Drosophila melanogaster: one gene and its partner. The protein of the gene in region 1 interacts with the protein of each later gene in a pairwise test. Each region holds a gene or a part of one and is shown on either strand. Other genes may lie near its edges. The genes, in order: cona and CG6688.

Region 1 (3,681 bases):
GACATTATTCAGCTGGACCCTTTGATCATGGCCAGTCAGTACATACTGCCAAATCTCGCTACTGCTCAAACTACTGGTACTCTTCACAGTAATCGTTGTTGGCTGCTCCTCCGTATTTACCACCATGAATGCCAATCCTCCGGATACGGCATTTGCACAATGGGTATACAACTTGTTGCTCGGAGCAAAGGCGTTCAGAGGTCGGGCTGGGAACACCCTTGATCCCATGACCTTCTTGAACAAAGCAGTTACATACAGACTGAAGTTTGGTCGCTCGAAGTCCACCAAGTTCATTCGCTTAAATATAACATCGAATCCACTAGCGGCGGCATCTCCCATAGTTTGGGCCCACCGCAAGGCATCCGTGGTCTCGTCGCCCACCAATCTCTGCGAGGATCGCTCCTCCGGCAAGGTCAGCCACAAGGGAACGCGCTGTTGCTGAAGGGTTCGCAGGGCAGGATCGCTGTCGTACAAGTAGCTTCCCAGGCTTGATTTGGGCAGCATGTTTGCGGGTCTACAGTTGGAACAAAATAATTATTAAAAGGTAAGATGCTACTTCTATAATGTTCATAAATACATTCACTTCCAATCTCACTACTTACTGCGTCCATCCAAATGCCGTATTCAGATCCTTGGACATATCTACGTATCTCTTGGTCTCATCAGCACTGCTTCCAGCTGAAATGTCCGCTCCCATTAGTCGCCAGTCGTCCACATACGGTTTGAAAGTATCCGTCATCAGTTTGAGAGTTCGAAGTTCCTGGACGTAGTCCTTGGCTCTGGAGGTGCCAAAGTCTGTGCCCAGCTGCCAGATGCAGTCGGTGATGCCAACCATATAGGAGGTGTTCAGGATCTTCAGCGTATGCATGGAGTCCCAATCATCGGGCGCATAAGGCACCGGGATGATCATGGTCCAGTTTACGGCCCTTCGAAAAATAAGGTCAGATAGATGATCAGAAAATGGGAGGAAAGCCATCACCACCAACTTACCGCGACCACCGATTGAACCCCTTCCAAATGATTTTGGTGGGGTTTCGCAGCCTAGTTGGCGCATTGCTGGCGAAGTAAAAATCTCCCACGAACTTGATGTGCGCATCTCCCAGCAGATTCGCCAAATTGGTCACCGCCTTGCGGTTCTTGCCATCCAGGGCATCGTACAGATCCTCCGGACGAACGGCAAAACTGACAAACTTTTCGTTCACATCGTTGTAAGGACGATTCACATGGAGCTGAACCAGTGTATCCGCAAAGCACACTACCGCCAGTCCCAAAAGAGCCAAACACAAATGCCACATGTTTTAATCCAGAATTACGAATGGAAAGACCGGAGACCTGTCTGTTGCTCGATGGCTCCACAACTGACCGGAGTTTCATAATGACTACCTCTAAATAAACTCCCCACTCGATCATTTCCATCTGATTTCGCTGCCATCCGCAAGAATTTTGCGCTGATCGCTGCCCTCAATATGATGACCTTCTTCCAATGCACCACTAACGTAACCCAAACCCACATACAAGTGGGCCGTGGTTGGAATGCCGTGCTTATCAATGAACTATGAGATGACCCAATAAGGTTGGGGTAAATCTGCGGAGGCCAGTTCTTCGGCATCCTCGCTGGCGGTCACGGTTTGTTAGAAGAAAAGAGAAGAGAAACCGTCTCATTTTTTTAAATTAAGAAGGTTTCTCACACAAAGTTTAATGTTACGAACCATTTTGCAAAACAAATCACGTCAAAGCTTTCAGTTATACTCACAAAGTAAAAGGAGGGTATATTAGATTCGCTGAAAAGTGTGAAACATGTAGAAGAATATATTTTTATTATATATATTTATATTTTTGATCAGAGTCACAAGTCCAGAGTCAGAGTCGATCGTCCACAGTTTCTGTGATATACATAAATATATGAACATGAATGTGAATATAATGTATGCCAATTTCAGATATGGAAACTATTAAAGTTATGAAGTATTTGTGTTCTTTGACTAGAACGTAAATATTTCCAATTGGTGTAAATTTAAATAGCGCGCTCATCAACAGATCTATCACCAATAAGTGTGTAGAAAGTTGCTATCGTCATCGACCTATCTGCTGTTTTCCAACACTAAGTTGACCGCCATTTTGTACGTCAAAACAGAAATTTCGCCAAAACTTGAATAGAACGTTGCGACAATTATTATTACAGTTAAACAAATTGTTATCCAAAACTACATGAGCAATGGGTAGTAACCAAGATTGGAACAAGGAAGACTCCAAAACTGAGGTCCCACCTGAGGAAGATGACCAAGTGACAGCATACATTGAGAAATCAGTGGCCCAATTGGTAAGTTAAGAAAGGAAACATTTTTAGTTAAAATTTATATACATTTTGATATTATTGTAGGGCTCCGAAAATGATCACCGTACCGCGCTGGTCGATGAAAAGAAGAAGGAGTTGGATGTCCTGATTGCCGAGAAGTACACCACTTTGAACGACTTAACCCATGTCACCAATTCCCAGAATCTTGTGGACGACATCCACTTTCTGCATACGAAGAACGCCAAGATCCTGGAGAGCCTCAATCAGGCGGTCACCGCCAAGAGAAACGTCTCCCAGGCCTACGATGACCATTGCAAGAAGGCGCTCAAGGTCAAGGCCGAGATGCAGGAGCAGACGAAATGCTTCGATGAGTTCACCGTGATGGTATGTAATCTCCTCAAGAAACCAGTAATCTTGCAGGTTTGTAAAATTCTATCCAAATATTTTCTATTTCAGAACTACCACGATCTAAAGAAGACCATACTTAACACCAAGAAAGAAACGCAAGAAATTCGCGCTAAGACGGCTTTAAAGACCGAGGAGCTCAAAAAGAAGCGAGAATTTGTTAACACCACCCAAAAGTCAATGGCTAATGATATCCGTGTTCTAGGCCAGATCGAACATGACCTCATGTGAGTAACTATTAGGAGTTATAAAAAAACCGTACAAGAACATGTATCCCAAATGTTTGTTTTTTCCACAGTGGGATAATCGAAGACTTAAAATCCAAAATTTCTGCAATTTAAGTACAGGAAAACAAATAACACTTGAACAATCGCCAAAGGTGCATTGGAAAATACGGTCGTACCTCATCTTCCAAAAAATAATCCTTAATATTGCTGCGTTTTCCAAATAATTTGACAAATAAAGTACTTTTTATTCTGTAATGCTTTTTTAATTAAACCTTCTTCAAGGAGCGAATCACGATGGCTATCCTGATGGTTCTAATCATCTTCGACGACGATCAAAATATCCTTAAAGCTGAATGGCGTGAACGGATATCCGTTTCCCACATAGAACTTGCTCATGAACTCCACCCAGTGCAAGCGCAATGTGTGCAGGAAGGCGGAAAGACCCTCCATCATGACCATGATAGCGATGGTGAAAAACTCCCAAACGGCAAAGATGAAAAACAGCCCAATGGCGCCCACGTAGCCGTTCATCTGAAGTCCCATCGCCAGCACCATAGTCCACAGCACCTCCGATAGCTCTGAAATAAGATCTGCATGAAGTACAAATTCAATTACTGACTTAGCAGATTCTTACGGGCATGAGCTAAGGACAAGGCCCAGAGACGAAGATATGAGGCCGTGTGTGAGATGGTACTAAGGATATACTCGATTGTGTGGATGGCCTGGTGGATCCAGATTTCGCTCATCGGCTCG
Region 2 (5,398 bases), 4.6 Mb from region 1:
GGTCTCCGGCTTGGACTTGGTCGGCGCCCTGGCTTTTGTTCGGCACATCAACAAAGCAGAAAATAAAATTCAATTAACGCGCTTAAATTAAACTGCCACTTCCTGTTTTGATGACATTTTCATGGCAGCCTCGCTCCGGCGAAGAAGCAGCGGGAGGCCATTCTGCAGCGATAGGAAGAATGCGGTTTGGAGTAACTGAAGCCTGTTGCTGGCGTTGCTCGCTCCTCCATTGATGCGGTTCGTCCGGCATCAATATTAAATGGTAAACGGCCGGCATAATGGCTGTCCAACTGCGGCTGTCATTATGGGGCCATCAGGAACCACCAGGACCAAGAAACCAGGGACTGGACAGGTTCCATGCCTGCTCCCGATGACAAATAAAGCTCATTACGCGCTTGTCCGGCATCCTTCACTTTGCCACTGATTGACCTGCATCTGCGCGTGGCGTCGCCGTCAGCAGTCATAAGTTGCACTGCACTGCGAGAAATGTTTGTACTTTGTGCCCTTGAGTATGCAGTGGGAAAAGGATTTTAGAATGAACAAGTACTCAAATAATGTTGCATATTCTATTGATCATTTGCACAAAGTCCAATTGACTTAAAATATTTTTATTCCTCTTGCGACGCTCCCTGAATGCAGTCCATCCGGACTTCATTATCGAGCTGACCAACTCGGACGCCAAATGACACAAAGTCATTGGAGCGTTCAGGAGTGATTCAATTAGAACTCAACTTGGCCAAGTTGAACTCTTCGCTGCAGTTAGCTGGACCAACTTCTTTGCATCTCCAGCGTGGGCCTTTGTCCCGGCCTGACACCCATACAATTCCTTTGGCCGGGTTCGTTTCTTTGCGCGATAAGCAACTTTGGCCAAGCAACTGGCATTTAATTTAATTAGAAAGGAAAACAGCAAGAGGGGCGGGGGGCGAATTGGGGACGCGCCTGATAAGAGGATGCTGTTGATTGAGATGCCCGAGCTCAAAGCAGACGGAAAGCGGATTTGTAGCAGCAGTTCTGGTGGAGGTCCTTTGCAGGATCCTGTGGATCCTGCAGCTTGCAGGGACAGCGGTACAACAGCGAGGCCGGCTTAGTTTGGACAACCTGCTGGGGCAAATCTTGGCTTGGAGTGACAGGAGGTATGCGAACGGGTTGCAATCCGGAAGATTCATTGATGCCCGGGCTAACGGAGGCTGGTAGCGGAGGGCCATGCAAGGATGTGGCAGAGATGTGGCTGCTGTTCGTTCCGGATTCCTCGTCAACGCCCTCGGCATTCGGCTTAACTCCTTCCTGCTGTAAATCATTCGTCGAGAGTGAAGGATGCGCCGCATTCGCGTCAAGCGTGGCATGCATTGTTGTCCTTTCGGGGGGCGTGGCTGTCACTGGCGATGTTCTGGCCGGGATTTCACTGGAGTCGCCAGCGACGTCCGTGGTATTAGTCCGCAGCAGAGTAGCGGCATTCGAGGGACTGAGGTTATCCGTCGAGTAGGCGCAGCCCTCAAGCAACTTGGTTAGGAACTTGTTCGTTGGCAGCACTGGCCTGCGCTTTCGCCAGGTGTCCTGTCCGGTTATCCTGTCCTGTCGGCCCACGACTGGCCGTGTTATCCCGGCAAAGAGCTTCTGCCGCAGCTTGTTCTCCGAGCGGCACATCTCGAAGGCGTTGGCAATGGTCAGGAAAATTTGCTCCGCCAACAGCGCTCGGCGGGGAGTGTAGAAGTCCCGGCAGACAGGACATCGCTCCGAGCGGATGCGACAGTCCACGCAGAGCAGGTGTCCGTTTTGGCACTGCATCGCCGGCGGTGAGATGGTCACCCCGCAGACAGGACACTCGACGAGGCGCAGGATGCTCTCCAGGACGAGGGACAGGCGGCGCAAACTGGTGGGCATGGGGGCGCAGCAGATGCTCTATGGATTTTTGAAAAAAATATTGTGTTAGCGCGATTTTAATGGGGAACGGATAACTGAGTGTGTTTGATGGTTTAAAGAAGGATTTCAGGACTGCAATGAAAATACTCACATTAGTATCACAGTCCTTATCACATTCACTGTTCCAACAGAGAATTGTGACGCAGTCCTTTTGACTCTTCACCATTTTGGCGATTTCAGACACTCTCAAGCCTAAAACATCGTTGCCATTTACCTGGAAATAAAATATTATAGAATTTTATAGAAAATGTCTGGAAATGTTGTTTATTTATTTTAGGAAATAAGTGCCATACAGAAAGCAAGTACCAAGTATCTAAATATTTGGATTTCCACGAGCTACCAAAGAAAACAAATGAATACCACAAAATATGGCCAACACAATTACAAATTCGAAAGCACTGCTTGCGGCTGTATCGCACGCACTGCTTGCGGATGTTAACCTTAGCTAGCACTGTTAACTCAATTGGCTGTTATCTGTTATCTGATAACTGATATTTGCTTTGAATATTTACTTCGTGCTAATTAATCTTTGTCATCAACTAGTTGTTTTACTACGTTCGAGTTGTGTCATTAGTTTTAGGGCGGGCTGTGCATTCACCAGCTGTTTCTAGTTCCCCACTCCACATCCAATAAAGTTTCTAAATAAAGTCGATGCCGAGCAATTAAGTTTTACTGCATTGCTATTTTAAGTAAACAATATCCACGAAGAACAACAAATGCGGCTACAATAGCGGCTGCAAAGTCCAGACTTGGATATATGTACGGTCCAACTTCCATAGCTCAAGCTATTCGTAATTTAAAAGACCATAGCGATTTGAATTTGTTTCTAGAAGTGCAAATCATCATATTGGAATGCTTTCCTGAATAGTACTTTTTATCTTAACTTACGATTCACACAAATTTGTAGAACTTATTGACTTGAAAACTCGCAAGTATACATAATTAGCTTTACAACAAAAACTACATTATTTTTCTAGCTGTTAGCTAACAAAAGGAACTTTTTTCTGATTATAAATATATTATAATTTTAATGGGTTCCTCAAACTCTGTTTTCTTCTATCCTAAGTGGAATGCACATAGTTGGGAACCTGAGTAGCAGTCTCAATAAGCTCTTAATAGGTTTACAAAGTAAATCCCCGCGTCGATCTATTGCATTCTTAATTTTGTAACTGGAGTTCAGGCGCAGATTGAGTTACCAATGCAGTTTAGTTACCAATGCAGTTGGTCTGCGCTGTGCATAATCCGCCAGTCCATTGCTGGCTGAGAGCTGAAAGAACTGACAACGGTGGCACCAACCTGTGGCACTAACTTCTACTCACCTCCAGAACGCAATCGCCGGGTTTCAGGCCGCAGAGAGCGGCAGGTGTGCCGGCTGCCACTTCGCAAACCTGTCGGTGTAATGGGTATATGGTAATTAGGAGGGGACGGGATCTCCAAACGATGGCCACTTTTATTACCCAGGGATAGGGATCCCATTTGCTGCGGGTCAGCTGAAATCCGTAGTTCTCCATCGCAGGTGCGGCTCTGGGAATTCTCAGTAGTCGCACGGAGGAGCCATCGCCATGCTGCCCATCTTCATTGGATGTGGAATGAAATCCTCCCGCTGATTTCCTCATTTTCGGGCTAGAAAACTCGCACAGGTGCTCGGATCGTTGTGGGCCAAAATAAAAAGCGGCTAGCGAGAGACGTGTTCAACGTGCGCTCTCAGTTGGCAAACTGTTTTTCGTCTGTCTGTTGATTTTTTTTCGAGCCAGCTGGCTGGCTGGTGTATGTGGCTGGCTGGCTGGCTGGCTGGCTGAAAAGTTGCCGAGCGGCGAGCAGTGAACATGGAGCGCTTTGGGCCGACGCAATCGGCTACGACAAACATTTTGGCCAAGCTCCCCAGCATCACACATTTAACCCCTTCCACAACTTAATGACTTTGGGCCATCTGACGCGGTGTTGTAAGTGCTCGGCGCCAAAATGTGGCTGCGGTTCAAGATCCGAGATTCGGAATTCGAGATCGGAGATCTGAGATCTGAGTTCCGAGATCCAAAGCTGACACCCAGCTGAGATCATGGAAATGAGACTTGTGGAGCTAAGTAAATATTTGAACTTTCGGGCTGGCAGCGGTTTTTGGGTGCGCTATAAAGTTGCATGTCTACGTATTGTGACACCTTCAAATATACCGAATAAATAAACAAATTCTTCAGCGATTAAGTCATTTGATAACCTGGTAAATTAGTTGGTTCGAATGTGCAGGCTGCTACAATTGTGCGGAAGTGAAATCGAGAACATGGCCAAATACAATAGTTTTCATAGAAACCTTCGGCTATTTCTCTTCGCTTTTCATGGAAACCTTCTGCTATTTCTCTTAAATTGAAAACAATAAAGCTGCGCTTATCACTTATACCATGTTTTGTTACTAGAGATTAAAACTATTAAGGTAAATATAGCAAAACAGCCCAAACAAATATAAATAGCCAAAATAAACTGAACAAGACCTGCAAATTAAGTGTTAAATTGTATATTTATACAGTTTGGTTACGGTTTTGGCACAAATCGTAATCAGATAAAATCGCTATTAGCAGTAATGCACACGAAACTTAATCAGTTTAATTCCCATTTGTTGACTTTAAAAGTTTTCCGACTTTGTAATTAAATTTGAAAATAAACAGCACTATTTTTCGGCTTAATTGCGTGTTGGCAGTGTCAAATGGCCAGTGCATTTGCGATTGAGTGGCCAGCAAGTAAACCAAAATATTATTATTCGAAATGCCAAAAGAAATTAAAACAACAACGACGAGTGTGTTGGCACCGCACTAGGGTGTCAAACGGCGATAAACATAAACAATGGGGCCCTAAATAAATAATTGGGTCTAAAACCGGCTCGTCGATTAACCCTAACAATGATAACTGATGGAAATTGGCAGCTGACAAATGGATTTGGTTTGGCATGGCCAAACCATCGACATCCATTTGACTTTCGCTTTTTTGTTGTTTTGTTATCGCCGGTTTAACTGCCATTGAGGCGGTAATTTGAGTTTGGCGCTGCTCTGGTCGTCTAAAACATTGGCCAAATAGCATTGAAATTGGTAATTTCATTTAAATTTGCGCCCAGCAAAACTGACCCTGGGCGGCATTGTGGTGCGTGGTGTGTGTGTGTGTAATTTGTTTTTGGCTTTTCAATTTGCCAGTTCAATTAGATTTGGCCAAATTTATGTGGCACGCAGAAGCGTTCGGCAGCCAAAAGCCGTCAGCAGTGTCAAAATTAGAGAATACTTACCCAGGCAATAACATCGAAATTCATGTTTCTCGGAAAGCCATCCACCTGAAAGGTAATTGACTTTTATTAATCGGCCAGCAATTAGGCCGGGCCCAAAGGCAAATGGCCAAATTCAAGTGCAATTCCGCCTCTTCACACTATTGGCTCTCGACTTGTTTGTGGCCAGTAGATGCGGTTTCCAAAAAACAAAATAAAACGATGAAAAGCTCGCTG

Evidence for each region.
Region 2: the proteins of cona (region 1) and CG6688 interact in a two-hybrid assay, tested with the Drosophila melanogaster proteins (one large-scale study listed by BioGRID).

What each region holds. Positions count from the first base shown.
Region 1 is NT_033777.3:18,383,707-18,387,387, forward strand, and holds cona (corona), read left to right. Parts: upstream 1-2,121; 5' UTR 2,122-2,215; coding exon 2,216-2,320; intron 2,321-2,380; coding exon 2,381-2,680; intron 2,681-2,752; coding exon 2,753-2,928; intron 2,929-2,999; coding exon 3,000-3,042; 3' UTR 3,043-3,181; downstream 3,182-3,681. Other genes in the region: CG14309 (uncharacterized protein), read right to left, coding at 1-514, 603-926, 991-1,295; Vha100-4 (vacuolar H[+] ATPase 100kD subunit 4), read right to left, coding at 3,241-3,506, 3,563-3,681.
Region 2 is NT_033777.3:23,010,652-23,016,049, reverse strand, and holds CG6688 (uncharacterized protein), read right to left. Parts: upstream 3,639-5,398; 5' UTR 3,537-3,638; coding exon 3,378-3,536; intron 3,309-3,377; coding exon 3,240-3,308; intron 2,135-3,239; coding exon 2,012-2,134; intron 1,900-2,011; coding exon 976-1,899; 3' UTR 575-975; downstream 1-574.